Schizosaccharomyces pombe: one gene and its partners. Changing the gene in region 2 together with the main gene of any one other region gives a genetic interaction. Each region holds a gene or a part of one and is shown on either strand. Other genes may lie near its edges.

Region 1 (3,664 bases), 1.2 Mb from region 2:
AAATTACGTGGCCAAAACATTGGTGCTCCTTTGGGCGGTCCTAAAAAGAAGTAATCACAATTACTTTGTGGTTCCGTTTTCATGACAATAAAAAAGAAAATAATGTTTCATTTTCGTTTTGATGTTATCAATATTTATACATAATCCAGGCCTTCTTTAAAATATATACCTGTATATATGTTATATAGGTTTCTATGTATAGTATTTTCAATGTACTTTTTTTCCGTCCAAGTTGATGTTAGTAACTATTGTATTGTAATGACTTTTAGATTTTGACTTGAAATGTATCGTTGTTCATAGCAGGGTAAGGTAAAGCAGCTATATTTGTTTTCATCGGAAGTAATGGGTCGCAAGGCTGAAGATGTTTCTGTTGCTACATTGGTGTCTAAAAAAAACAGTTAAACAAATGACTTATATCAGAAATACAAATGAAGTTTAGTAAAAAGCTTTTAAAAATACGATCAAAGGGGTTTTTGTTCCAAAAAATTGATAATATAAAATTGATAGTTTTAATGAATAAATTCAAGAAATATATGAGTTATGTACACTTTTCAATCTCTAAATATAGGATGAATGTTAAACATTCCAATCGTATGGAATTAAGAGACCAAAAAAGGAGAGAAAGAAAAAGAGGAGATGGAAGTGTTTAAAAAAACAAAACAACCTTGGATAATAACTAGAACCGCTCATCTTTATGAGGTAAAAAAATTATTAAGACTTGAAAAGTGGTAAAGGCCTGTATGTACAAGAGAAATTCAATCAAAGTGCGTGCATGGCTTTAGGGAAATTGTATATACATAATTAAAAAAATGAAAAGATGTTAAGATTAGGAAATTTATACCATACCACCTAAATCGATGAATGCAGTGACCATTGAATATAAAAAAAAAGAGAATGTGTGGTTTAATGGAATATTTGGGAAGAAGAAGCTGTAGGAAGAATTAAATGAGGTGGGGGGACGGGAGGTAGAGAGGAATGGTTGGCATCGTAGTCTTCAACGGACAATCTAGGATTCGTGGGGTTTTGTACACCATATGAATAATCATTGACATTGTCAGACACGAAAACATCTTGCGTGTAATAATCATCAACCATATAAGGACTGGGAAAAGAAGGCAAGGGATCATCCTCATATGTGAATAAAGAAGATTCGCGAGGCACCGAAACATGCTCTTCCCTGGAAGGAGGAGTTGGAGGAAGAGGATGCGAGACAGGTACCTTTTTGCGAGGTTTGGAGGGTTTGGAGGGTTTTTTAGGTACAGGAGTTAAAGCGGCGACACTAGAATATGGAAATTGTAAAACTGGCTTAGAAGAAGCACGGTCAAAGTATAGAGGATCAGTGGGGATAAACTTGAATTGCACAGATAGCTCGCCAGCAAATTGGAACTCATTTTTTAGTTCATACCATTCACTTTGTAACTCTTCTTTCATCGCTTTCTCAAAAGACAATACAGTATCACCAATCAAGTGTGGATGCTTTCGAAATCCCTCGTGAAAAACGGTTATTTTCATAATATGATAAGATTCACTGGGAATGTTAAACTCCAGTACCGCATTCCACGATGGTTCTTGACCGCTTCTCTTATCCGTTTGCGTACGTTTTACCACCTCACCAACTCTGCAAACGCAGTAAGGGCTTTGTTTGCCCACTAGAGCCTTGTTTGGTAAATTTTTCTAAAGAAGACACGTTAGTTTTACAAAACAAATCTTCATCTTTTAAGACTTACAGCTTTCCATATTCGGACAACCAACGTTCCAAGAGGATTCTTTGACATATGGTAGATGGAGAAACGGGTTATAAACAAAAAAGCTACTTTATACAATTCGAGTGCGGATTTTAAGCAGTGCAGCGCAACTTCTGTAGGAGGGGGCTGGTTTGTCTCCGATAACGGGGGTTAGCTTTCGTTCATTCATTTAACGTAGCTTACTGCAATTTAAAATGCTTTAACGGAAATTTGTGTACGCTACGATATTGATGGCTCCAGTTAGGAAATTCGTGAAGAAAGATGCCGTGTTAAAAAAAATTAAAAATTAACAAAAAAAAAAAAAAAAAAAGAGAGACGAAAGTTATCGCAAACAAAAAGAACTTTATTAATATAACTAATTGCATTAATGATTGACTCAGTACACACCACACAAATATATTCACTTAATTTTAATTGTTTTAAAATGAGTGTAAAATATCTATTGGTATAACCAATTCCATCACAATTGCTAATTGAATGGAATGATTTGCATAAAATGTTTCTAACTTAATTTTTTTATTCTTTTATGTTTCACGAATACAAATTTATTTTGTTTTTAAAAAACTTCATTTTCTTTGCTTATCTTTTGGGTAGTTTTCGGATCCGTAATCCCAACAAAATGCCAACCCGTATTGACTAATAAGTTCCCGAAAATGTAAGCAAAAGATTTCATTGTAAAACAAATGAATTAGCTATTAAAACTGTTATTTAAATGTTGTAAGGGTTGGTATGTTATATATACAATCTAAGTCTATGTAAAGACTTTTTGAAAGATCCTACTGTACAGAATTCTCCATAATTGAATTCGTGACAAGTACTCATAATATTTGAAACTTGTATATTATTTCTGCGTATAACCTATCTTTATTTTTATTTTAATTTTATTTTTTACTTTATTTTATTTTATTTTATTTTATTTTTTCGTAGGTCTTCTGGAACTGCTGGATCTATTCATACATTGCTAATTACTCAGCGTACGTACACATCTTACAAACACGCAGAAGTCCAACCTAAAACACTTACCTACATACAACATAATATCAGAAATACACGCAACGATTTAGCTTCATCAAAGATATATTATTTATTCATTCATCGGTTAATATAAAATAAGCTTGAGTTAAGAGTGAAATAAGATTCATGGCACTATACACAAACTCACCATTTTTACTACATATTGCTAACATCATATTTGCTTAAAAAGCACGCACTCCATGATATACCAATAACATCCTACTTTCCGTCCATCCTTTCCCATTCCCCAAACTATCGATACGTTTCTTAACGATACGATAACACAAAATACAAAACTACACAGCAGTACTTTAAGTATCGTCTTGCTCGGTTTATTCCAGACCCATTTCCTTGTTACCCTTCTTCAGAGCCCCGCACGTGATTGGTTAAGTTCAATCATGCAAAGTGATGCAATGACGTCATCTGTTTGAAACAGGTGGAAGTGTGGCACTAGGAATTTACAACTTACCCTTTACTTACAACATAAGAAGAAAGAAACTACTTAGGAAATTGCTAAAAAGTTTACTTTGAGCACTTTTTGAACGATTGAATTGACGAAAACCATTTTTCTGTTTGTAAATTTCAGTTTGGACAGTTGACCGAGTCTTTTCATCATTTATACAGTAGTCATCGCTTAGTTGGATCTGAATTACGAATTCTCTGGTTCATGACGACGACCTGCTACTAGTACGTTTGGTTGATTAAGTCAAATAGGTATGTGTTTATACATGCAATTGTGAAGTTTGATTATGTAAAAGGCTGTAAAATTGGAAGAGCGTGATAAAAACGTGACGGGTTGTGTTGAAAACCGAATTTTTATGAAAATTTGAAAATTTGCTCCTATCGTCATTGACCCTACTAAACATGACGAGTATGACGCTTTCTTATCAATAACACTGATCGTT
Region 2 (7,105 bases):
ATGATGAGAATTTGTATATAAATTATGATATAGATGGAAAAAAGATTACCCGACCTGCGACACCTGCTGCTTTGGATTCTTTAATTGCTAGCATTGATAAGGACAAAGGATGGACTGGAATAGTTGATCCTATGACGGGAAAGCCGGTTAACTTGACTACGGAAGAGCTCGGTTTGCTAAAGCGACTTGCTCAATCCGAGATTCCTGACGAAAACTTTGATCCATATCCTGATTATGATGATTTTTTTACAAACACCGTACGGGAAACTCCTCTTTCAAGCGCTCCTGAGCCCAAACGTCGATTTGCTCCCTCTAAGCATGAACAAAAGCGTATTTTACAGCTTGCTTATGCTATCCGTAAAGGAAGAATTCTCACTTCTGAACAGCGTGCTGAACGTGAACGCGAAAGTCAAAGCAATTATGCAGATCATGATCTTTGGGCGGATGATGATCAAGCAACTGTTAACCAGAGAAAGTTGGACTATGCACCTGCACCTAAGCTTCCTCCTCCATCACACGAGGAAAGCTATAACCCTCCTGAAGAATACTTAAAACAGTCTTCGGACTTTCCTAAGAAATATAAATCCTTACGTGTTGTTCCTGCTTACTCAAACCTTATAAAGGAGAAGTTTGAACGTTGCTTGGATCTTTATTTAGCTCCCCGTGTTAGACGTACCAAACTTAATATTGATCCAGAATCGTTACTTCCTAAACTTCCTACCCCCTCTGAGCTTCGTCCATTTCCGACACGCTGCACCAATGTTTTCATCGGTCATAAAGGTCGTGTTCGTTGTCTTTCGGTCCATGTTAGCGGAAATTGGCTTGCAAGTGGAGGTGATGATGGAGTTTTACGTATTTGGGAAGTAATGACTGGTCGTTGTGTTTGGAAATGCAGCTTGGACAGTTTTGGTAATGCACATAATATTGATAGCGATGAGGATGCGGTTAATGAATCTTTAAGTCACTCTACAAAGAGCTCTATAATTCAATCACTTGCTTGGGGACCTCTTTCAGATAGTCCAGTGCTTGCTGTTGCTGTTGATGAAACAGTCTATTTCATCACACCCCCGATCTTTTCTGACGAGCAGATTGAAGCTTCTAAAGAATTGTTTACTTCTGCTCCTTACCAAGAATCTAGTGCAATATGGAGAAGAGGAGCCAAACAATCTTTACAATTACATGGTGGTATAGTCCATGCTACTGTTTCTACTCCCAGTAGCATTAAGTCCTTGTCTTGGCATCGTCGCGGTGATTACCTAGCTACTTCTTCTCCTACTTCTTCTAGCCAGGCGGTTCTTATTCATCAGTTGTCAAGAGGTGCAAGTCAATCGCCATTTTCTAAGTCTAAAGGTTCTGTGCAAGCTGTTACGTTTCACCCTACTATGCCTTATCTTCTGGTTGCTACTCAACGATATGTCCGCATATACAATCTTGTTAAGCAAGAGCTTGTAAAGACCTTGTTAACTGGTGTCAAATGGGTTTCGAGTTTAAGTGTCCATTCGAGTGGGGACCATGTCATAATAGGTTCCTATGATAAAAGGCTATGTTGGTTCGACTTAGACTTTTCTTCTAAACCATATAAAAATCTTCGATATCATTCACGTGCTCTTCGCGATGTCTCATATCATCCTTCCCTTCCACTATTTTGCTCTGGCTCTGATGATGGTGATGTTCAAGTGTTCCACGGTCGTGTTTACAGTGACCTTCTGGCTAATCCCTTGATTGTTCCTCTTAAGATTTTGCGGAATCATAAAGTGGTTGATAATGTCGGTGTTTTATCCACATGCTGGCATCCAAAAGAAGCCTGGTTATTCAGTGCAGGTGCTGGTGGAGAAATTCGGATGTGGACTTGAAAAAGGTTTGAAACGTCTTAAATATTTTTGTTTTCTTCACTTGCTTTAAAATTTAGAAAAACTCTACTTTTAAAAATAATGTTTGGTAGTGTTTACTGCAAAAGATACTTTTTCAATGCTGTATTATAGTTTTGCTAACAAGTCGAAAAGATTGTTTTCGTACTTGATTTTGGATATTTAATAGGAATATAGGGGTTTTCGAAAGTTTAAAATGCATTTGTGCAAACTGAATATGTTTTTATTTTTTATTTTTTGGTAAGTTATCTAAAGTATTTAAGTATTACGTGATATCAAAAATCGTAACCGTTGAAATTCAATAGTGCTTTTTATATATCTATAGTTACCTAATCATTAATTGCTTAATTATAAAAATACAGCAAGTTTAAATGCAAGTAAACATGCTGGACTTTGTGGATTAAATGAAATGATTTAAAATCTCCAAGATTTCCAAGACAGCTTTCCTTATAAAGCTAAAATCGATGAAAGAAGTGAAAAAATAACAAAAAAAAAAGAAAAAGAAAGTGATGAGTAAGTCTGAGTTAATCCAAATTAAACTTGACTGATATCGCCTTGCAAGGACGGCAAATAGGGGTATTTTCTATCATAAAATAACCCTCATCTCCAAGTAGGGCATTACAAGCTCCGCAGGTCCAACATTGGCTATGATATTCACCATCAGACCCTTTTACACTGATCCCCAAAATGGGTTTACGGCATTTCTTGCACTTAACAGCATACTTATTATCATAACAAGTCTGACACCAGTATAGGTCGTCACGGTAAATACAGGGTATATTTACATTAAAAACTTCAGAGCAACCAGCGCAAAAATGATGATTTTCATGAAACCAATCATTGTTGATATGGACCGCTTGGTCTTCAATTGGGGTTTTGCAGTGCTTACAGCGAGGACTGAACTGTTCATGATAGTCTAGATGACAATAAAATTTTCCCTCGCGGTAATAAAATCCAACGTGCTCTAAGTTCTGGGAACAAGTATCGCATTTGAAGCATTGAGGGTGTAATTTCTTTCCTGAAGCACTAATTATTCTGCCAGCGCGTAAAGAACCGCCGCAACTATGACAGGATTTTTCAGAATTGCCTCTATAAAGAACTGGTTTTGTAGATGTATGAGAAGATACCATTGAAGGCTTAAGTGAATCTGATTGAAATAAATTATTTGAGGACAAGTTGCTAGGCAATTGTGAAGTGGGGGTGGGCAAAGGATATAAGCTATTAGCAGGAGCAGAATGAAAAGAATGCAAAGCGGGTCTACGATTGGAAAGTTTACTGGATTTCTGTAAAGGAAGAGTAGGAAGTTGTTTGGATGCGAAGGTTTTTTGTCTGTCTTCAATGCAATCATGATCAACAAGCGGCTGTAAACCGGTATGACAATCGTAAACATTTCGTACGTCTGGATAATTAACATGTGAATTCAATTCCTCCGGCGAACTAGGAAACTCATCGTCGTCACTGTATGCAAGAGATGGCAATTCAGGTAAAAGCTCCTTTTTTAAGCTATCGAAAGTAGAAGTAGAAGCAGAGGTTAGTAGTGTTTTTTCCGGCGACGAAACATTAGAACGAGAGAGCTCGTCATCAGGCAGATCAAAACGTACACGATTTTGTTTTATTGTTGGATTCCTCTTGGACAAAGGAGATTCAGGAGTCTTCAAACTTGGTTGCGGTAATGGTGTAGCTATTCGACCTCCAGTAAAGTTAAGTGCTCCATCAGATAACCGAGAACGAACTAAATTGTTTAGCGGGGAGCCATTAGTAGAGACCGGCGAAGAAGGAGCAGCACGAGGACCAGTCAATCGACGTTCAAATCTACAAAAACGAAGTTAGATACCTAATTGGGTAATAACAATAAGACAATAGATTACCTTGGTAATTCTGGAATTGGTGAATGCATTTGCTGATATGCTTCTCAACTATCAGGACACTAATCAACGGAAAGAATTCAGGATCGTTGACAACCTTAAGAAATCAGGATAGCCAAGCTCGCAGGGTATAAATCTAGCCGCAACACTTAAAAACAAGATAAAAAATAGGAAGAGAAGGATAAGGAAGGAAAAACAAAAATCAAGCTGGGATTAACTTATAGAAAATTGTTGCCAACGTAAGGATATATATCTCAAAGAGCGGAGTCCCCCAAAAAAACTAGCTGTATTAAAAAAATGCAATTGTAAGCAAGTAGTTATTATTTAGAAAGCAGTAATATTTGCTTTATCCAAAGTGTTTTAGCTAATAAGTGTTGGCTTTGTTTAAGTGTATATTCCAAAATATAAACAAACATTCGTTGTTATAGAAACCAGCCTCATAATAGGTAACATTGTACCTTTAACGAATACTTAGAGAGTACGTATTCAATGTTTGTATACCAGCAGAAAGTAAAAAAATGCGAATATATTAGTAATTAAAGTGAATTAAGCCATTCCTATGCAGAAAATGTTCCAAACGAAATCAATGTTATTTGTTGGACAATTTTATATGTTGCGATTTCATAATATGGTACAATATCTTTTTATAATTTATTTTTTTTATACTTTGGCAGTAGATTATTGTGGAGCGCGTTATTAATGCTTACTGTATTGTTACAGCTCTTTAAATGTCATTAACTACCCCATTATGCTTTGTCAGGCATACAGCATTTCGCTTATTGTTTCATAAATAGAAACCTAATTTTGGCTTTCAAGCTACAGATTGACCTAAGAAAATTCTTTACCAGTTGTAAGTATAATTGTATAAGAAAAAATATGTAGACCCGTGAGTCTGTTCAGTGTGTAGTTACTTATAAGCGTTGCAATGTGTCGCAAAATGATATTGTATATAAAATTACGATCACACTGTACCACACAAACGTCGTTAAAGGAAAAAACACTTTTTTGACTGTAGATTTGTTAGAAGCAAAAGTGTTTGAGAATAGTTTATGTGCGGAATTCTTTTCGCCTTAGCGGAAGACAGAGATAATCTTCTTGAAAGTCCATCTTTTTCAGCTTTACGAAAAAGGATTCGGGCTAGAGGACCTGATTTTTTTGGTAAGCATAAATTGAATAGCGGACCTTGGAATTTGCACTTTGAGTCAAGCGTTTTGCATTTACGTGGCCCTTCTGATCATTTAACGCCTCAACCTCATGTTGACAGTTTTGGAAACGTTTTGTGTTGGAATGGAGAAATTTGGCAAATAAACCATAGCGATCATCACAAATTTACGCTCAATCGTAATGAAAACGACGGTGCAAAACTTTTTGAACTTTTAAACAATAACCCGGGCGACATTGAAAAAATTTTGGGAAGTATTCAAGGACCTTTTGCTTTTGTTTACTACCAAGTTCGTACAAACACATTGTGGTGGGGAAGAGATCGCTTAGGAAGAAGATCCCTTTTGTATAGTTTACGAGATAGTAATTTCGTTCTCTCAAGTGTAGGAAATTCTAGTGATTTCCGAGAAGTTGAGCCTGGGTTTCATAGTGTGCAGGTGGACTTGATCCCAAAAATTAACTTCTCTAAATCATTAATGCAACTGGAAAAAACAAACCCTCTTCCTCCTGTGGATGAGTCCTTTCTCATGGGCTCAATCTCTTCAGACACTGTGGACACATTGCATACATATCTTATCAAAGCGCTTCAAGATAGAGTTTTAACAATCCCCAAACTGTGCTCTTCAAACCTTGACTGTAGTCATTATAGCCGAGTTTGCGTTCTTTACTCTGGGGGAGTGGATTGCGGTGTATTAGCACGGCTAATGCACGACATAGTTCCCAATAACGAGTCCATCGATTTAATTAATGTGGCTTTTGAAAACCCAAGATTTACAGAGACATACCGTGACAGAGAGACGGGACTTCTTCCTGACAATTTTGATGCATACGACGTATGTCCTGATAGACAAACTGGATTACAAGGCTGGCAGGAGCTTATTTCAGTTTGCCCTGCTCGAAAATGGAATTTTGTTGCTATAAACGTTCCTTATACAGAAGTATGTGAAGCACAGGAAATAGTCAAAACACTTATCTATCCGAACGATTCAGTTATGGATCTTTCTATTGGATTAGCTTTTTATTTTGCTTCACAAGGGCGTGGTGTACTTTTACAAAACGTGGATGATATCAAACTGAAACATCAATTACCTTCCTATACTATAAAAGCTAAAGTCCTCATCAGTGGCCTGGGGGCTGATGAGCAGCTCGGTGGTTATATGCGGCACCTACGAGCGTTTGAACGGAAAGGTATGGCCGGTCTTGAAGAAGAACTGCAATTGGACATTGATCGTATTCCACATCGTAACTTGGGCAGAGATGACAGGGTAATGTCTAATCAAGGGAAAGAGGTGCGTTATCCTTTTCTCGATGAGCGTCTGATGGCTTTGTTTAGCAAAATGAAAACTACTGATAAAATGCGTCTAGATTTAGTTGGAGGTGACAAACTAATTTTACGTGAATTAGGACGTCGATTAGGTTGTCCCTTAGCTAGTCAAGAAAAAAAGAGGGCTATTCAGTTTGGTTCTAAAGCAGCAAAGATGACTCCTGGAACCGGTAGAACATCAGGTCGTAAAAAGTTAGAAGTTTGTATTTAAAAATAATAATAATAATAATAAATTATACTTGAGTATTTCATAAAACTACAAATGTTAACTCATCTCCAAAAGGGAATCAATAGATGAACTAAGCCTTCCTTGTTGCGCATTTAACACAACTTCAATCACTTCACTGTCAAACGCTGGAAACATAGCTCTTAAAGCCGTAATTGCTTCAGCCTTTTCCCGAGCTTGTAGCCTTTCAGCTTCAGCTGTCTCAAGAGACGCTGTTGTTGCCTCTCGCAGGTCATCATTTTGTTGTAATCCATCATCCACTGGCTGCTCTTCATGAACGATGGGAGAATGGGTAGCAGACGAGGAATATGCACGAGATACTCGATAGGGAGGTCGATCGCTAGAACCAACATACTTGTTTGAGTTTCTGCGTGATCTTTTTCCAGAATCAGTTGTGAAAGAGCCACTATGAGAAGAGCTCTCGGCCTTGTGCTACGAGGATATTCTTTGCTTTCAGGAGTGTCTATTTGCAAGTATTTCATATTTTCAAGCTCTTCTGGTAAATTTACCAATGCAACACCAGTCGATACATCTATGGATGATGAAAGTCCTCGAGAAAGAACCGGATCCTTGTAGGTTGCATTCTCGTTTACGGCCGTTTTTGATTCAGACTTTTCGCTCAACTTTCTCTCTTCCATCTTCTTGATCGACTTCTCTATTT
Region 3 (8,553 bases), on a different chromosome or scaffold from region 2:
AGGTAGTAGCTGGTTATGTATATTGCAAGATTCCCTAAGTACGAATCTCGAGAAACGCAAGCCATAGTAATTTATATAATTCACTGTGGATTCGAAGCGAGAACAGTTTGTTTGTTCAAATTTCCAATTGAACCAACGTTTTATCTATTGCGACTTCTTATTAAGCAGTACAATATTAGAGACTTAACTACAATGATAGCTATATCATTCTACAAAGTGTCACTGTCACACCTGTATTATTCCTTAAAAGGTACAACATCAAGTATAATGTAAATAACACAGCAATAACAAAATAGAAGTTGCTTTGTAGCAGATGGAACGCTAAATATTTCATTTTTGTTGCTAAAGCAGTTTTAATAGAATGAACTATTGTGCTACTATAGTGCATCCCAGTGCATAAACGTTTAAGTGCTAGATAACATACCGAAGTGCAGCAAATTGAATTTCTAGTAACACGCTAATTAGTTTTTCATTCCTTTAGTGTAGAATGAAGGAAAACACCGGAGCTCCAGAAAGACTACGATACGACAACGTACTTCTCTTCAAATTTTCCATATATTAGAAGCTGCTAAGGCTGAAACGGAAATCAAATTTTGCATTAAGCAATTAGGATTTTTGGTGCAGCTTTTCAACGTAAATCGGAACGAAGCATGCAGCTATACTCTTCGGAAAGGTTTGTGCAAATTAGGGTTAAATAAAAAAATATTTTACATTTTGGCCATATTGGACCGTTTATTAATCATTAATTGCAGTGAATCCGATGATTCTCAATATTGGGTTGATTGGTTTTTAGGACTAAAAGGAAACGAATTTTTTTGCGAAGTCGACGAAGACTTCATCCAGGATCGCTTTAATTTGACTGGATTGAGTCATGAAGTTCCACACTACTCCCAGTCTTTAGACCTCATTTTAGATGTATTGGATCCTGATTTACCAGAGGAAGTACAAGATGAGGTAGAAGCTAGTGCTCGTCATTTGTACGGCCTTATTCACGCCCGTTATATCTTAACGGCTCAGGGTTTATATAAAATGGTAAGCAATTATGTTTGTAAACTTCTAGTTTCCTGTTTTTAAGTTTGGATACAATCTTCGTGAACAAAACAGGCATTAGACAAGTATAATGGACACTAAGTGTGTAACTTGACTTATCTTTCAATTCTTCAATTTTATTACATTTATGTCATACCGTACTATTTCGTTTTAATTAGCTTTGGATTTTGACTAACATCCTTTCTAGCTTGAGAAATACAAAAAATGTGACTTTGGGCATTGCCCTAGAGTTTTATGCAACGGACAGCCAATGTTGCCCGTCGGCTTGTCGGATATTGCCCATACAAAATCCGTTAAATTATACTGTCCTCGGTGTGAGGATGTGTACACACCAAAATCACAAAGACATGCATCCATTGATGGTGCATATTTTGGAACCTCATTCCCTCACATGCTTTTTCAGGTATACCCTGAACTTGCGGTCCCTAAATCTCAAGAACGCTACATTCCACGTATTTTTGGTTTCAAAGTACATAGCTATTCTGCTACCTTTAAAAAACAAGATGTATACAAAGAAAAGCAAAAAAAGCGTTTACAGGGAGCCGAAGCTGAATCAAAAAATAAACTGGCAATAACTTAAAGGCATTTTGCTTAATCTTCATTAACAATAGAAGTTCACCCGATTCTTCGAAGTCCCATAATCACCAAGGCAAAAAATTTTATTTACATTATAGCTATGACAGTTTTTACTAGAATGAACTTTTACGTTTTTAGATTTTTCCCGAAGCATCAGCTCCTTTTATCTAAGAGCGTAATTTTCAAACTTCTAATCATCATTGAAGCTAAAACCTTTTATGCTTATTCAGCTTTGAACCTCTTTTTTTACTTTGATAATTGCTTTAATAATTTAGTTTTGATCATGACATATACTGTGGTTAATATTTATCCACTTCTTTCATCAAATTGTTAAATTGATCGTAAAGACGAATGTCCTTGGAATCAGGCCCTTCATCGAGAAGTTCCAGCGCTGTCTTCAGTAAACGTTTTTCGGGATCCAGACTCACCAGGTAGCTAGATAACTCCGTACAAACGTCCCAGTTTTTTATTTTTAAAGCCATTTCGTATATACTTAGAAAGGTAGAAGCACAACTGGCTGAACCCTGATGGATCTGCCATATTATCAAACACTCTGCGGCACTTTTAACATCTTCTGTTTCTAAACACTTTTTCATTAAGTCTTTTGGTTCTCCGAAATACTTAAATATCATCGGCCAGTATTCAGCTTCAGTTTTTCGCAGGCAACCCAGAACGATTTTAAAAGTGGTAAACTCTTGCAAGTCTTTAAATAATAAGGATACTTCATAAAGCAATTTATCTCGCTGTGATGAGTTGTAGGTCAATAATGATGAAGAAAGTAATTTTTCTAACACAAAATTGATATAATGCAAGTGCCCATATGTCTTGACTAAGTCAATAGCTTGCTCACGTTTATCTAACAGTAATAGTGCTCGAACAATTTCCGGAAGGAATGGATAAACACCTATTTGGATATGAGCGTATTCCATCTTATTAACTAAGTTTTTATGACCCTGGGTATAAGCAGTTAATAGAAGTCCATAATTGCTTAATACAGTCAGCAAACATCCCTGAGATTCCAGATCTATACATTCCTTTTGAAACTTTTCAGAAATATTTACATTTTTAATCAATTTAGCAAGATGTGTGTTATCAAAGTTACAATCAACCCCATTTTTGTAGACAAAGCTGGGCGATCTGAGGTCTTCAACAGATAAACGATGAAAATTTTCTAGAGATACTCTTTTTGATGTATTGAGAAACTTTGGAAGGCCATCTATAAGGTTTTTAGTATTTATCAAAACAGAGGAAAGGATCTCGCTAAAAGATAACCATAGCTTAAGTCCCTTTCCCGTCATGATCCATATAGAATGAAATAATGAAGGGATTTCTTGACTTCCATTGATAAAGTAAAACTCAACGTCTCCCGCTAGCATGCTGCACTGATATAAAAGCTCTTTAGAATGTTGTTTTTTTAGACTTAACAAAACAAGTTTTCCATTAATGAGAACCAGAAGGACTGCATAAAAAAGTAAATCAGAAGGTTGAATATTTGCAAGGTCTTTTGGTAGTAATAACGTTATGCTTCGAACTCTGGATGGAGTAGTGAATATTGGAGCAAAATTTACGGATGTTAAATAGTCGAGTTCTAATCTTCCTAATTCGTTTATATCGAATCTGATGTGATGGAGGAAATTATCAGCTGTATAGACAACCAAAGAATATTCGTCGCAGACTGACATTGTCACAATTGTTGAAGTAAACGATAATTTAGCCAAGTTTTCTCTATCGTCTAAAGGCCCTTTTGCTTTGTATAGGTGTAGCTCAAAGTTGGACTCGCAAACAACACCGGCTAGCAAAAATTGTGAGCACCAAATCATTGGACAAGTAACACTGATTAATTGTTCCATATTGGCATCTTTATATAAGAACCAGGTCTTTTTTGAGCAAACATATATAGCTAATCCATGAAGCCCAGCGATTGCTATCAAACTTCCATCATCTTTGATAGAAACATATCTAATAGGCCATTCAGAAGCAACATATGGTTGAGGATACTCAACTTGATCCCAAAAGTCAATGCCAAAATTGTTTTTAACGCTAGAACAAAATTCATATGACTTCGAAATATATAACCGATCGCTAGTTTGAGCTCCACAAACTTGCAAGGTGCTTTGTACACTTGAAACTATGGTGCTCTTTAAAAAAGGTAAAATATAAATAGTGCTAATAAATTGTTTAGAATCCGTAATACTATATAAGACATCATTTGTATTGTCGTTTTGTGACAAATACTGGATATCAACGTTCTCTTTTTCCATAGCAAAAAACTCGTCGTTTTCTTTTAAGGATTCGGCGATAATCGGAGTAGATAATCCCGTTCCCTCAGCTTCACCTGTAGAAGAAAAATTTTTAGATCCTAGTCCATAAAAGGAAGAACTATCTCTATCCCAAAAGCCACAGGATAACCCAAAATTAAAATATTCAGTTTCACTACTAGCACAACACAAGTTGAGATAAGGAGACAGTGTAGCCCAACCGTCATCGTATCCAACCATAACTTGATGGCCATCACCTGTCGTAGCAATATGATTAACCTTTCCGGAGCTTGCCGAATATTTAAAAGAATGAGTTTGAACATATTGGCGACCGAAATCTCGTATTTCATAAGCATACACAGTTCCATCGGCGGTACCAACATATAAAAGAGAAAATCTGGCATTTGTAGATAAAACAGTCGCCTTCTTTTCTCTAAGCTTGGATTCCAGGTCCTCATTAATGTCCTTGTCATTATCTGACTTATTCAAATCTACAGGGTTATGTACGCAAAGGCCAAACAGACTTTTCGTATTCGTGTTGGAAGAAACACCGATATTGGCATAAACTCTTCCATCAGTTGACATCCAAAAGAAAGTGTCGATTTTAACATCGAAATAGAGTCGAGATATGAGAGAAGAATGATCCAGAAACCAAGTGACTTCTCGTAAATCGTACTGTTTACTTGACACTTTCCACAACTTATTAGGGTCAGTTGTTTCCAGCGTTGAAACCTGAATAATTGGTGCAGAATCTGCAGCATAAACGATGGAGTCCCTTTGAATCTCCAGGCATTTAAGCCCACCTCCATATCGCATAGCAAGCTTGTATTGGATTTCACACTTTATAGGCCCAAATATTTCGCCAGGTCCATCATCGTATCGAGTTAAATAAGGACTTGGCGTTAGTACAGGCTTGGAAGCATTTAAAGTGAAATGATAGACAGCTACATAGTTCTTTTCAGTTGCAACCGCTATAATTCCGTATTCAGAGTTAACAGCTATTTTTTTGTTCTTTCCATGACGTTCAAATAAGTTCTGAGACTTTGTTATCTTTGATATGAGTGTCAAGGGTCGAATTTGATATATTAAAATCTCGGTTTCAGTCAAAACAACGAAGAACGACACTTTAGGGATTCGACATATTTGTATTGCTCTGGAGGACAATTGTATTCTCTGAGGTGTTCCATGAAGGAAGTACATGAATAGTTCACCTTATTCGACAAGGAGTTTAACCATTTCCAAGGATGCTGAACCCTTTGAGAACGTAAGGATCAACAGTTGACGCTGATGTTCTACCACCATTTTCGTTAAAAAGTGCAACAAAAGGAACAACTTAATTCGTTAAATAATAATTTCGCAATTTGTTAATTTGCAACTTGCATATCAATTGAAGGATACTTATATTATTGTATAATGGAGCTGATATTTTATTTACTAGATGTCAAACGAATGCAGTAATCTAGGAAAAAGCTTCTAGTCCATTTTTACTTTAGGAATGGCAAATTATGCTCTGCTTTGTTAACGAAAGTATTGTCAAATTGTACAATAGATTAGCCATCAGCTATAAAATTACAATAAGGCTTCAATTCATTCATTGGTACATGATTTCCTATTCATTTCCCTAAATGAGAGGTTTGAAAAAAGTTAATTATAAATCGAATAGACCTAAGCTCGGTTCAAGATTTCAAAAACAAGACAAAGAACTTGATTGGTTTAATTAATTATTCGCAAAAAAAAAAAACGTATTTGAATTCGTGGGTTCTATGCAAAAGACCGTTATTAACATTATAATAGCATACCCTTCCAAAAGATATTATCGCGTGAAATCACTGCCAAGAATGGAAAGCGGCATACAAAATCAAACAAATGTTCCACATCGTAATGGACATTAACAATATGATGAATAATACAAAGAAAGAGAAAAAAGCAGTAAAACGGAATGAAAATTTTACCACATTAATATTTCACAGACAAAAGCTTTTGCTTTTGTTCTTCAGACAAATCTAACAAAATCGACAGCAAGTTCACAATTTCAGGCCGACGATCCCTCTGTTCGAGAAATTGGAAAAGAATGTTGCGTGTGTATTCCTTATCTATTAGCATGTCATCCGAGCCAGGATGCTTAGAATTAACTTCCACTGACGAAGAAGAGCGGCTTACAGAACTGTTTCTCCCATGGTTAGAAGGTTGTTGCTTACGTAGTTGATTGAACACATTTTTGAATGACTTTTGCAGGTGTTCGTATCGTGCTGTCGAATCTTCCAAATTCTTGAGAAGTGTTTGATTTTCATTCTTCAGGGCCTCCAACGATAAACCGTTATCGGGCTCAACTGATTGAGTTTTCACGTTGGAGTTTTCAAAAGAAATGGCCAGCTCCTGATACTTTTTATTAGCTTCATTCAACTTAAGTTTCAGTTCATCTATTTGAGAATTTAGTTCATTAATTTTCTCCTGGAAACTAACGCATTCAGCTTGGGAGTTAGTCAGACTGGATTCTAAGCTTTTAATCTGAGTTTCGTAATCAGAAGATAGGTTCGAGTAATGGTTTTCACCAGCCTGCTTCAAATCTTGACGTTCCAATTCCAATTGCTCAACTAATAAACGTAATTTCTGACTATCCTGCGTTTGTTCACGGAGTAATTTACGAAGTTCAGTCAGTTCTTCCTCTTTGTTTTGCAAATCTTCCTCCTGTTCTTTCAGTTGACGGTCGAACTCATTGTTTTGTTCTTGTAATGAGGTAAGTTTATTTACCGTCTCTTTCATTTGAAGTTGCTTTTCCTGTGCACTGGAGAATAGTCTTTTCCGTTCTGCTTCACTCTCGGAGACTGTTTGTTTCAAAGAAGTAATTTCGTCTTTAAGCTGACTATTAGATGTGATGTAAGAATCAAGTTCTGTCTGCATCTGCGTTCGGGATTGAAGTAACCTACTTTTGAGTGATTCAGCATCGTTCAGTTTTTTAATATTCTTTTGATTTTCTTCTCGTATTGTTTCACATGACGATTCTGCCCACAGTAAATTTCTTCTGCATTCGTCAATTTCGTTTTGCAACTTTGTAATATAATCGTTTAAGTTATCAACTCTAGACTTCAAACTTTCAGAGTTCTGCTTAAATTTTTCCGAGTTTTCCTTTAAAGTACTTTCGGCAACATGTAACTGCTTAGTAAGTTCTTCAACAAGCTTTGGCGTTTCTAAATCTACGGTATACTCTTTCGGTTTCAAATCCAAAAAAACCAAAGGAATGGTATCTGCTAGGTGTATTTTATGGTGATGAAACACATATTTCGGCCAGTTCAATAATGTATCTAAATCAGTGAAAGAAAAATGATGCATTGGTTCCTTGGCATTGGCATTAACAATCAAATCATCATTAGCTATGTCTCTTCGTTCCTCTTCTTTACTATCGGCAACTGTATCTTGTTCTGCATCTACATCTTCACTTTGTGCTACCTTTTGTATGTCAGGCGTACTAATGGACTCGGAAAGCGCATCATTCTCTGTAGTCGCTTCTATATTTTGTTTAGTTGACTTTTTCTTTTGATTTTTACGATTCCTTTTCTTCTTCTTCTTTGATAAAGCACTGCTGACACCTATAGTATCAGTTGAGGGCCTTGAAACTTCGGGAACGTCATTTTTTGTCTCTACTGTTTTATCATCTTTCAAACTGGAAATAACCTCCTGCTCAATGGATTGTGCACTTTCCAACGAATTAATCTTCTCTTCAAGTTCCGAGCATCTTTGTATTGACTTTTCTAGCTCATCTTTTTTCTGTAGAATTAAACTGTTTTGATTACTTATTTCAGAGTTCAGCTTTTCAATTTGATCCTCGAACTGATGTTTTAAATTCTCCCGATCAGTCTGTAAATCATTCACTTCATGCGATAATCTCCTAACTTCGCTAACTGTCATTTCATAACGATGCTCTAAATTCTCCATAAATTCACGGAATCCTTCTAAGTCTTGAATACTTGACAACGGAGTTTTCTCCTGTAGAAGCTTTTGAAACGCTACAACGTTATTTTGTAGTTCATTCAATTTTTGTACGACGGAGTCCATATTTTTCGCGTCCTCTTCATTTTGAGAGAGCTTATTAGAAGATTTATTATTTCTTCTTAATTGATCTTCTTCTTGAAACTGCCTACGTCGATTCTTAGCTTCTTCCTGGCCTTGGGCCAGTGTCATGTTCAATTGATCTTTTAATCTTCCCAGCATTTTGATTGATAACCAAGAAAGAAAGTACCCATAGATTAAATCGTATAATGTTATTTAATCTTATACGTGCTTGGAAATATTAGTTGTTAGATATTGTAATTGACTGGGTATGGCACAATATTCTAGTGTTAACATTCTGCCACTTTAGCGTACTCTATTCTACTGCACCCTGTTAGATGGATTAACCCTTTAACTGAATGTATCGCTATCTCACAATATCAAATGCTTGTGTACCGTATTAGTATAGCAAAATTAAGCATAAACTATGAAATTGCCCATATAAATTGATTGAAGATAATTTTATATTCGATGGAATTGAAACCGAGATTACCCAATCTATTATTAATAATAAAAATTCACCACAAGGCCTGATCCGAAAACATTTAGAAGATTTGAAAACTCTTCAAGCAATAAACAGTGAATGTTTTTTAACAAGTTTATTTGTAAGTCCAAAATGATA
Region 4 (10,560 bases), 360 kb from region 2:
TCAAACAACACATTTCAGAAAACGGTCAAAATTTTGGTAGTGCTATATCTTCAAATATTTCCCAACGGAACTTCAAAACCCTTAGAGCGTCGCATTTGTCTCAATATCGTGATTGTAACCGTGAAAACAATACAGAGGATAAAAATGTTATCTCGACGGGGATTGCGGTCAATGAAAAATATCAATCTGTATTAAAATTAAAAGAAAAAGCGCCCCAAATTTCTTCAGCTGCTAAACGAAAGTCGTTTATAAAAGAACGTGGTATGTTGGCTAAGTGCTTTCTTGCGCGTTTAGAAGACGAAGTGTTTCAGGGACGGCTTACTTCTTCGCTTGAAAAGAAGGAGATTGGAATAGTTTGGTCCAAATCTTTTAGCACTACTGCTGGTAGGGCTAACCTTAAGCGAAATAACAAGGACGCGCCACTTGGGAAAAAGACATACGCATACATTGAATTATCTGATAAAGTAATCGTCACAAAAGAACGGCTTTACAATACTTTGGCCCATGAAGTTTGCCATTTAGCTTGTTGGATCATCGATAATGAAATGCAAAATCCACATGGCGCCTGCTTCAAAGCATGGTATGACAATGCAAATTAATGATAAATGTACTAACCTATTAAGGGGTAAACGAATTATGAACAATATGCCTTATATAGAAATTACCTCTAAACACAATTATGATATTGACTTCAAGTATAAATGGCTGTGTATTAATGAAAAATGCAACAAACTTTATGGAAGGCACTCAAAATCCATCAATCCACAGAAACAAGTTTGTAGGTTATGCAAATCACAAATTAAACAAATTTGCCCCAAAATAAAACAGCCCAATGCATTTCAAATTTTTTTAAAGGAGAATTCTAAGAGACTACGAAAGCTACACCCACACATCACTCACAAGGAACTTATGAAGAAACTTTCAGATGAGTACCACCGTACTAAAGATGCTAAACAAAACGTTTCAAAATCCGTTAGCCTTATCTCTTCAAGCGATTTGTAAATGTGAACGTAATAACATAATCAATATCACATTACGGGCAGACGGTGCACCAATAATTTTTTCTCATGTAACAGACATTAAGTTTGTGTTTGCTCTAACCATCAATCGTTCTTCATTACTTATTTAGATAATATATTCTCAAGTACTAGATACTTAATCAACACTCAAGTCATTTTTTATTTAACAAAATGCAAATATAATAATTATTATTTACCCTAATTGAGAGCATTTCTAATGAGAAATAAGCATCCACATCACACAAATCCTTTAAAAAAAAATAAAATGCTTTAGACAGAAGAATTCTTTGTTGAAGAATAAACAATCTTTGTCGCTGGCTGAATCAGATTAAATTTATCCATTGAAGTTCCAGCAGCTGATTTACCAAACACAAAAGGCAAAATTAAAAGAACAAAAAAGGCAATAAACAATGAAAAGTACAAAGTGGCATAGCGAAGAACTATTTGACGACGAAGTTTGTTTTGTCTTATGGTATAAATTGGGGGTCGAATTTGTCTGCTGGGCACAAGCCAGAATAATATGATCGAGTGAAGTTTGTCGATATAAGGAATCAAAATAACAGGCGCTTGCAAAAACAACAAAAGATGACTTAAAAGGAAATCACCAGCAAACATATTCAACTCTGTAGTTTTACACACAAATTCTCTCCATGGTTGCGTTAAAACCATATATCCAAAACCTTGGCCATTCCAACGTCCAGACCACCAAGCTAAATTGGCACCATCATGACGAAATTCTCGAGACAGGAAACATATGATAAAAAATTTATGAGCAAACCTGTGAATTGAAATGATTGCTACAAATCCAAGTAAAGTTTTTGAAAATGACCAACCTTCCAAATAGCCCAATACTTCAAAGACAACAACATCAACACACACAAAAAGGAAATGGGCCACTCCAGCCAAATATACACCATACGTTTTAGATCTATCGCCGAGAATAGGACGTAACATGATTCCTAAACAGAAAAAGAAAAAAGCAATAATTGCACTTAAAACCAAAGGAGCAACTGACATAATAATCAAGCGAATAAAAGCATTAGTAGATTGGGTCTCATCATCGTTACCAGGTTGGGAATTGATAAAGAGAAATGGAATACACGTGAAAAATAGTGTTCCTAGAGGCCCTAATATTTCACCATAAAACATTGTAGTAATTCTCGCACGCGGGGAATCCATAGCAATTTTATCTGCCTTCTTACCATATATTTTACGTTTATACCCAGTTACTCTGGTACGGCAAAGTTGACAGTTGCCAATCCATGAATTTGCTTGATTGCGTGAATTTTCGCGGAATAGCCAGCGCATAAACTCACGATAATCAACAAAGAAATCGGTCCAGGCGAATTGATGGGGATTGTAAAGGAATGGACTAATGCAAAGAGCAGTCAGCGTAATCCAAAAGTAAATATAATGCGGCAACCAAGCAGTAATTGAACCAAACAATAACATGTACATAAGTCGTGACCCAAAATAAAGTGATGGTCCAGAGAATCGAGAATACAATAGTGAGAACGGCACACGAACAGTAGCAAAACCTCTGCTAGTACCAATATAGCGTGCACCACCAAACGTAAGATTTGCAATTAAACTCTGCGCATATATTTGGCATGTGAAAATTTCAAAAATAGGAGATAGAGAGAATATTTGTTTCGCTAAACGAATAACCATTCGGATGGCACCGCGTTCCCCTAATTCACAAACAGCAAGTGGAACAAAAGCAATACCAAAGACAATGAAAATAGACAAAATACAACGCTTCAACCACTCGAGAACTGGTTTTAATTGATAACAACCTTCAGGGTACAAAGAAGCTGTCAAGGAGTCAAATTGGCGGTATCTACAAACCGGAACAACAGTGTACATTGCTCCCAAATTAATAATAACAAGCATCAATAACTGTAAAGAAAACATGATGACCATGTTATTGACGTGAAATCCAGCGTGGGCATAGAAAAATGACAAAAACCTATCAAACGGTAATTGTGTGCCAAGGTTGAAATATTCTCTTGAAAGCATTTGTTCCGCCATACCCGTTCCAATTTTCGTAGTAAAGTTAAGAATTGAGCCAAAACCCAAGTCACGACCCTTACCACATTGATAGTAATCACAATGCTTAATACGTCCTCCACGTTGAAGAGCAATCATACCTGCATAAATATCTTCATTAACATGCAGACCTTTTTGTGCTTTTGAAACGCCGCCACGAGTAATCATAAACAAAACATTAATAAAATCAGGATGTCCGTAATGCAATTTTCCACCAATCAACGATAAAATACGAGCGAAAAGAGTACCAAATGTTTGTTCCTTTCCAGCAGCTACATCTCCAAGCATACCTGTATTTTCTGAAAAAATGTATTCTCTAGCACCGAGAATAGCTACGGGATGATTGTCAGCAGCTTTGGCATTTACCGAGTAAGGGCTATGTAAGGGAGGAGTAAGTTGCTCAAATTCAGCAAGAATGCTACGAATCTTTAGACATTCTTCCAAATAATTATCCTGGTTGGCATCGATCATTTGTACATATTCACCTCTAATGTAAGGAATAGACATATTTTGATTATCAGATTTACCGTCACCCAAAATTGGGTTACCAGATAGACGAATACGATATTTGGGTCGACGCTTTCCATTTTCCATAATGGGGCAATGACCGTCAATCAGTACAGAATAAAGATGGCGCTCGTCATTATGTCGAGATTGAGGATCTTCATCCATATATGCAATTTGCAAGTCTGGATACGCTCTTAATAAAAATTCTGCATTTTCGGCTTCTTCTTTGGTAAACTTAGCATACCGCTGCATGGAGACACAGAATCGGAACTTCCTGTTTGCCATTAAATCCAATTCTTCATCTAATCGCACAGGGTCACCATTTGTCCATTCGACCAATTCTGGTGTTTCCGTTCTGTATAACAGTTTGATGGCACGACTATAGTTACTGAAACCGTTGATAGTGCGATACAAAGTTTGAGTTCTCAGAGAGGCCCAAATTCTTGTTCTCAAAGTATACTCCGGAGTCGCAGATTTAAATCCAACACAATAGAAAGGAAGGTCATATGCTTTATTTACTCCATTTTTTTCATTGTCGATACTGCCAATAACAGAATCATTTTCATCAGCAAGTAATTTTGTATCATCAACAAAATTTCTCCACTCCACAGGATATAGCTGCTTCAAGTACTCTAATAGAGTTACGCGAGAAAGTTGATCTTCCTCGCGAATAATCTCTCTTAAAGATAACAAAATTTTCTCAGAATAGTGAGGAACCAAAACAGTGAAGGTAGGCATGGCATCAATGGAACTAGTCTTGGGTATTGATTCAGCCAAGGATTGTGCGAAAAAGGAGATTCTTCGAGCAGCTTCTGAATTAGCCGGAAACAAATCTTGCTTATAATGCTTAACCTGTTGGGAGTAGAAAAAGTTGGGAGCTCTAAGAGTATGATAGCCTGCCTTTTCAGAAGGTACTTGATGGTACAACAACTCCTGAATTTGGGTACGGGAAATCAAATGCTCCCTGTACATCGAGATAATAATGGCATTCCAAACTTGAGAAATAAGTACTTTTGGCTTGAAGACAATCTCCATGTCATCGGTATACAACAGTTTTGTATATATTCTTCTGGGAACGCGGTAAAACAATTCTCTCCAAGGAGTCCACACACTGATACCCAGGCAAAAAGCATAAGCCAAAGAATAGATAGTGCTGATAAGAATGTACCATAGATAAGTATCAAGGAAAAACAGAGAAAGATCAGTTAAATACAGTAAACTCAAGAGAATTTTAGGCTGAGCCTTGCATAGTCCAGCTCCTAAAATGTAATCACGGCAGTCATAAGGTCGCATAGCACCCAAAAATCTGATAGAATCTGCCAAATTCAAAGTTAAAAAGAAATAAGATTCCAAGAATTTGGCCACCAAAACTGTAATCCAAAGACACCAAGAAACGAAAGCACCTGTTTTTGAGGTCGGAGTGAAATTGGCGGTGAAAAATCTGTTAGCAAGGTTTTTTCCAGACCTTTTTGTGGTGAAACCAACCAAATTTCGTAACGGCGTAATCGAATAGTAAACTACACAGACCAACGAGAAAAAGAAATGCACAATTCCTACAACCAATCGAGAAGCATAATGCTGCTCTTTCGTAGACGAAGCAAATATGAAAACAACAGGTGCGATGTTTAGAAGTAGCGTACTTATCAATAACAGCATACTCGGCCACAACCTTCTGGCAGAATGATAACGACGAGGAACATGTATATATTCGAAAACCACAGCTGCCAAGGTGATAAAAGAAGCTATAGCACCAGCTAAACCACAAGCTGTCCAACGACAAGAAGCAGGAGGTTTATTATTCAAGCGGATGTGATAATTTTTGGTGTACAAATTTGGGGAATTATAAGCCGAATAATACCAGTAAGCAGATATATGCATTACCCAAATACGTGAGAAATTGGTAACGTTATGGAACCAAGAACGATACTCGTAATAGGACTTATAAAAACATGATTTCCATTCAACATCGGAAAGATGTCGATATCGCATAAACGGTGGTAAATCTAACAACGGAGTTTTATCAGCACACATGATTTCCTGAAGGCCCTTGTAGGACCAAAACAATTGATTAATATCATCATAGCCAATGATTTGAGAATGATCTCTTTCTCGTCTGACGTATTTGCCGTCCAAAATTTCAAACAGCTGTGCATGAATAAATCGATAAATAGGGGTGATAACCGAGTCTAAATAAAATTCCTTGGGCAAAGCAGCATCGACATCTTTAGCTTCCGAAGAGATATAATAATCATAAGCACATTCAAATATAAAACAAAGACACTCGGGAACAAAACGAACATTGTTAGCTTCACCCCAGCAAAGAAAATAAAGGCACACCTGCACCATCATGCGATGGGGTGAAAATGCTGCCATTTGATCTCTCCATGCCTGTTCAGCTTCTTTCAAAGTCATTGTTTCGACAATTGGGGAAGACATATCGTGAAATCCAATGGCATGACCGTCATTAAAATGAGAAGCAAAGTACCACTTTGAAAAATTTGCATGTTCACCACCAATGACATCGGCATGGATAGTAAGCAGTGCCGAGGAAGGAGACATACGAGATGCCCGAGAATCTAAAAGAACCATAACATAATCAAAAATGTTACGCATGTTATCTTTTTGAAAACCAAGTTTATTTGTAAGGTCCAACAAGATCTCTTGAACACCTTCCATAGTAACAGGAGCCTCTTCACCAGCTTGATTCCAAGCCGGATAAGCAACTGAACTGGAATCGACATTAAATGAAGAGCTATCATAATCAGAATGTAATGCATCACGAGAAGAGTTTTTATCGTAAATCATACGGGTCAGAGAGCTCATAGTATCATCGTCAGAGACATAACTATTGGCATCATCTTCAAAGAGTCCACGACCCTCTTGTTCACGCCAATACTGATCCATGATGAATAAATAGACTCAAAAGAAGGAGAGAGGACAAATTTTAATGCTTAAATTAAGAAGAATTGAAAGAAAGAAAAGTTGGAATTTGTGAGAAAGAATGCTAGCAAATGAGGAACGATGTTCAAAAGAAAGAAATAAATTTAAGAGACCTTGAAAAAAAGATTAAAAAGAAAGAAGTTAAGCCTTGGAAAATGGGGGCAAAAGAGTAGAAGAGAAAAAAATTTGTGCTGATTGAAATGAAAAAAGTAAAAGACTTTTTCAAATCCTAAAAAGAAGAAAAAAGGGTGATATATGTATGCCGGATGAGAGAAGACGGCGGAAAAAGCTCTAAAAGTAGGAAAAAGGGTGGGATCACGAAGTGAAAGAGTAGTTAAGATATCGGAGGTTCAAAAGGGAATGAACGGAACCTAAAAATACAGTATGCAAATTATAAAAAAAGAGGCGAAAAAAAAGAAGAAATAATTATAAAAACAACAATAATAATACCATAAAACAGCAAGCACCAAAAGAAGTACTTACAAATGCACACCTAGGAAACTGACCAAATTTTTAAAAAAGCGATTCAAGGAAGGACGTTTTTTTAAAAGAAAAGGAGAAAATATAAAATCGCTTTCCACATAAACTTTAGATTGAACAATTAAATTGTCGTATGCAGAAGCTTATTTACAATCTCTCAAAGCGAAAAAAAAGTAAATGGAGATGGGAAAATGGAAGGAAAAGAGAAGCGAAAGGGTAAGAGGAACCCGGGACAAACGCCAAACGTCCACACAAACACAATGCTACGACAAAAGGTGATCTTGCACACACCGAAAACTTAGCAGTGATGGAGCAACTAACGTAAAGATAATATCACACAAGAAAACTTGGCAAATGTTAAGATGGAGTCAACCTTTTTGTATGGAGGCTAATAGGAAAAAAGAGAGGAAAAAGAAAAGAAGGAACCAATGATAGATATATAAGAAGGAAGAAAAAATTAATTCCGTGCAACAGAATCAAAAATTTGACGTTAAAAAGGATAATTTACTCTAATTAATCAATATATTTTCAAAAATTTTAGAGTAATTCCACTAAGAGAACGGTGAAAATAGCCAAAACCCACCAGTTCCTAGTTTGTTGTCTGCAAGTTGTACTCATTCCGGTTCTTTCAAAACTAACAGCGAAATGGGGAAGGGTAGTGCACATTATTGAGGCCTATTTTAGTGTAAGCAATTTAGAGGCTGGCGTGGTAGGAGGCTCAGGTTACTCACCAACGAGGCACAAGGAGGCTTAAAAAACCATCCCCATACAAAGCAAAGCCATAGCCGGTCAAACAAAGAAAGAATTTATAAGCAGCTACTGTGTAGCATCTTATCAATCGTTATACCCAGCTACCGTTTTAGATGGATACTTTTAACCAAACTAAGGACGCTATATTTGAATTGGAAAAGAAGTAAACAAACTACAAAAAGTCAAGAAAGTGTAGCTGAAACCATAATTCAGTTACAGTGAACATAAGCGACGAGTGTTCTTTTTTTTTGGAATTGTTAAACTAATTTCTAATATGTGATTGTCTACATGGGTGGTAAACAATAGTAAAAATAATACAAAGCTAGAAGGTACCGAATCCCAATTAGCAAAGGTATGATTATTACAGTATAGAGCTTATGAAGAGAACTAGGCATTGGGCTTTTTTCGCAAATCCCGAAAATTGGGAAAATCATAGACGCACAATGTCTGGGTATTGAATGCGTGGGAAAAGTACGGATTTGAATGCTAACAAATCTGGTTAGGATCTAAAGAAGATGAAAAGACAACCGAGTACGAATTTAAAAGCAATTGGTTAATCCAAAGGAAGAAACAATGTGCCGGCATTGGAAAAGGTTTCCATTCCATATTCTGGTTAAGACTTGGATTGGGCAATTTCCCTTACGAATACCCCAAAAACAAACACATCCTGTAAATATTTTTATCTATCAATCGACTATTACAGCGATATTCTTTTAAATCTTTGATGACTATTTAGTTGTCACACTTAAACAACTTCTTACAATCATTTGACTACAACTATTTCTATTGTCGCACCTTCTGCTCTTTTCATTTTCTCCATTTCATTAATTCCTATATTTTCTACTTCTCTAGTTTGTTTTACTTCTTTACACTACCTTATTAGATAAATAATCTAGCACCCTAGCCTTTCTTATCATCTTAACCCCCTGTAGCGAGACTTTTTTCGTCCGGTACCTTACAGGGCTTGGGTGGGCTTTATAGAAAGGCTCAGTACATTTACCACGAGATTTTGAAAAGGATAAATCCAGCGTTTTTTCCTACAAACTATACGTTCCTGATACGCTGTATACGCTTCTTTTTCATCCAAATTTCACATTTTTTATATTTTGGTTCAAGTCTGGGGTTGATTTAAGAAAAATTTTTTTCCGTACTGCCTATTCAGTGTTTCTATTTATATTCAAAGGTGAAATTTTTTGTCTCCGCAAACTTTACATTGCCGTTATTGTCGCTTTGTTTACATTTTGAAAGTCTCAAATTGAATATTTTGAATTTCATCCTTGGCTTTTTTTTATTTGGTTTCCATTTATTTTGGTGATCGGCTTCCTTATTTTTTTTTGCACATTTAGTATTGGGTTAGACTTCAAGTCATAGGAGCCGATTGAATGATATCCTAATATTTGCCTGCTTTTTTAAAATTCTTCCAAAGTTATCTCTTTTTTCTACATTAAAAGGTTTTTTCATTCGTCTACCCAAAACGTTAACGACATTTTCCTTGTATTCTTATCCCTTTAGATTATATCCCATTTTGGTACCCATTACTGTTTTGCTGCATTTCAAGTCAAGCTGATACATTCAAGTGAATCTAGCGGATAATCATATTTTGTATTTCAACCTTTAAGTTTTGCACTTCCTTGCATGCGTCTTTGCCTTCCCTTAATTTTGATTTTTATTACACTGTCAATAATCACGAAACAAGAATATAAGAATAGTCGAAACTCTCACTTTCTTTGCGCCCTTTTTTCCTTCTCCCTTTTCTCCTAATTTTTATTTCTAGACTTCACTGAATTTCCTCGGTTGATTTAGTCAATTGGTTTAATTTTTAATCCTTTTTTTGTTGTTTTTTTACTATTTTGGTTCTTAATTGTCGCTCTTTTTCTACTTCTTATTTATATTATTACCTAAATATTTGGACTCTAACTATGGATATTAATCCTCCTCCTAGTACTGCTCCTTCATCTCCTCGCCGTTCTGTATGTGCTACATAGTGGTTTGGTTCCATTCATACACCCCTTTTCTCCTCGCTAACGTACCATTTAGATACAGCGTATTTCCGATGCAAAAAATAAGGCTCTTACTTTTAATCGTCGACGACTTGGCTTGATAAAAAAAGCACATGAACTCTCCGTTTTGTGTGATGCTAAAGTGGTGGTCATGATTTTTGATTCTAAAAATGCTTGTCACGTTGTATGTTTCATATTTCCCGTTTTTCTGATCCTTTTCTGTCATATCCTTTCAATGTAAAGTGAATACATTATAGGGAAGGTGATGAAGGTCAACAACCAGAAAACGTGGCAATGTTTTTACAAGTTTTTAATATTAACATACACCTCTTTAGTATTCTTCTGAGGAACCGGAAGAGCAAAGAGATGCCTTGCTGCAAAAATTCCTGAACAAGGACTTTGTCACGGTTGACCCTCTGGTAAGTCACTTATCAGCAATCATTATGCTTGTCCTGTATTCTGTTTACTAACATAATCCCTTGGGGAGAAAGAGAAACATAAATCCTAATATACCATCTGATGAATCCCTTCATAATTGGAGACCTAAAGATAAGCGGATTGCTTCTGTTACCACATACAGTGCTCAACCTTCTAATAATTGCTCTTCTGCTACCGACAGTGAAAATGACTTTCAATCTTTCACGATCAAATCCTCTACCACGTACCATACTACTCCAACTACTGCAAGCGAGAACAAGAAAATAGAGTCGATTACCATACCGGACCATGCGTCGGTTTATAATGACCTTCCTCTTTCTCCAACAGTCAAACATTCTTTTGTCTCTCCAGTTTCTGGAGATTACTCTGACTCACCT

Evidence for each region.
Region 1: mutations in pxl1 (region 2) and fic1 are lethal when combined (synthetic lethality), as found in Schizosaccharomyces pombe (2 studies listed by BioGRID).
Region 3: mutations in pxl1 (region 2) and ric1 impair growth when combined (synthetic growth defect), as found in Schizosaccharomyces pombe (one study listed by BioGRID).
Region 4: mutations in pxl1 (region 2) and bgs1 are lethal when combined (synthetic lethality), as found in Schizosaccharomyces pombe (2 studies listed by BioGRID, with this or other methods).

What each region holds. Positions count from the first base shown.
Region 1 is NC_003423.3:1,542,992-1,546,655, forward strand, and holds fic1 (contractile ring-membrane anchor Fic1), read right to left. Parts: upstream 1,785-3,664; 5' UTR 1,776-1,784; coding exon 1,728-1,775; intron 1,675-1,727; coding exon 904-1,674; 3' UTR 501-903; downstream 1-500. Other genes in the region: multiprotein bridging factor Mbf1, read left to right, coding at 1-54. UniProt on the Schizosaccharomyces pombe protein: Involved in the ingression of the plasma membrane during cytokinesis, leading to the separation of the daughter cells.
Region 2 is NC_003423.3:2,709,172-2,716,276, reverse strand, and holds pxl1 (paxillin-like protein Pxl1), read right to left. Parts: upstream 4,110-7,105; 5' UTR 3,766-4,109; coding exon 3,737-3,765; intron 3,681-3,736; coding exon 2,393-3,680; 3' UTR 2,070-2,392; downstream 1-2,069. Other genes in the region: erb1 (WD repeat/BOP1NT protein), read left to right, coding at 1-1,853; asn2 (asparagine synthase), read left to right, coding at 4,783-6,429.
Region 3 is NC_003424.3:4,501,758-4,510,310, forward strand, and holds ric1 (Rab-specific(Ryh1/Ypt6) Ric1-Rgp1 guanyl-nucleotide exchange factor subunit Ric1/Sat4), read right to left. Parts: upstream 5,125-8,553; 5' UTR 5,085-5,124; coding exon 1,926-5,084; 3' UTR 1,729-1,925; downstream 1-1,728. Other genes in the region: CK2 family regulatory subunit Ckb1, read left to right, coding at 651-673, 753-1,032, 1,238-1,630; grp1 (GRIP domain-containing protein), read right to left, coding at 5,841-8,093. UniProt on the Schizosaccharomyces pombe protein: Probable component of a guanine nucleotide exchange factor (GEF) that may be required for efficient fusion of endosome-derived vesicles with the Golgi.
Region 4 is NC_003423.3:2,349,765-2,360,324, forward strand, and holds bgs1 (primary septum and spore wall linear 1,3-beta-glucan synthase catalytic subunit Bgs1), read right to left. Parts: upstream 7,601-10,560; 5' UTR 6,480-7,600; coding exon 1,290-6,479; 3' UTR 1,158-1,289; downstream 1-1,157. Other genes in the region: SPOM_SPBC19G7.04 (protein-DNA covalent cross-linking repair protein), read left to right, coding at 1-580, 624-1,002; DNA-binding transcription factor, MADS-box Mbx1, read left to right, coding at 9,665-9,715, 9,783-9,929, 10,081-10,164, 10,237-10,560. UniProt on the Schizosaccharomyces pombe protein: Alternate catalytic subunit of the 1,3-beta-glucan synthase (GS) complex. Synthesizes 1,3-beta-glucan, a major structural component of the fungal cell wall. Required for the assembly of the division septum and maintenance of cell polarity.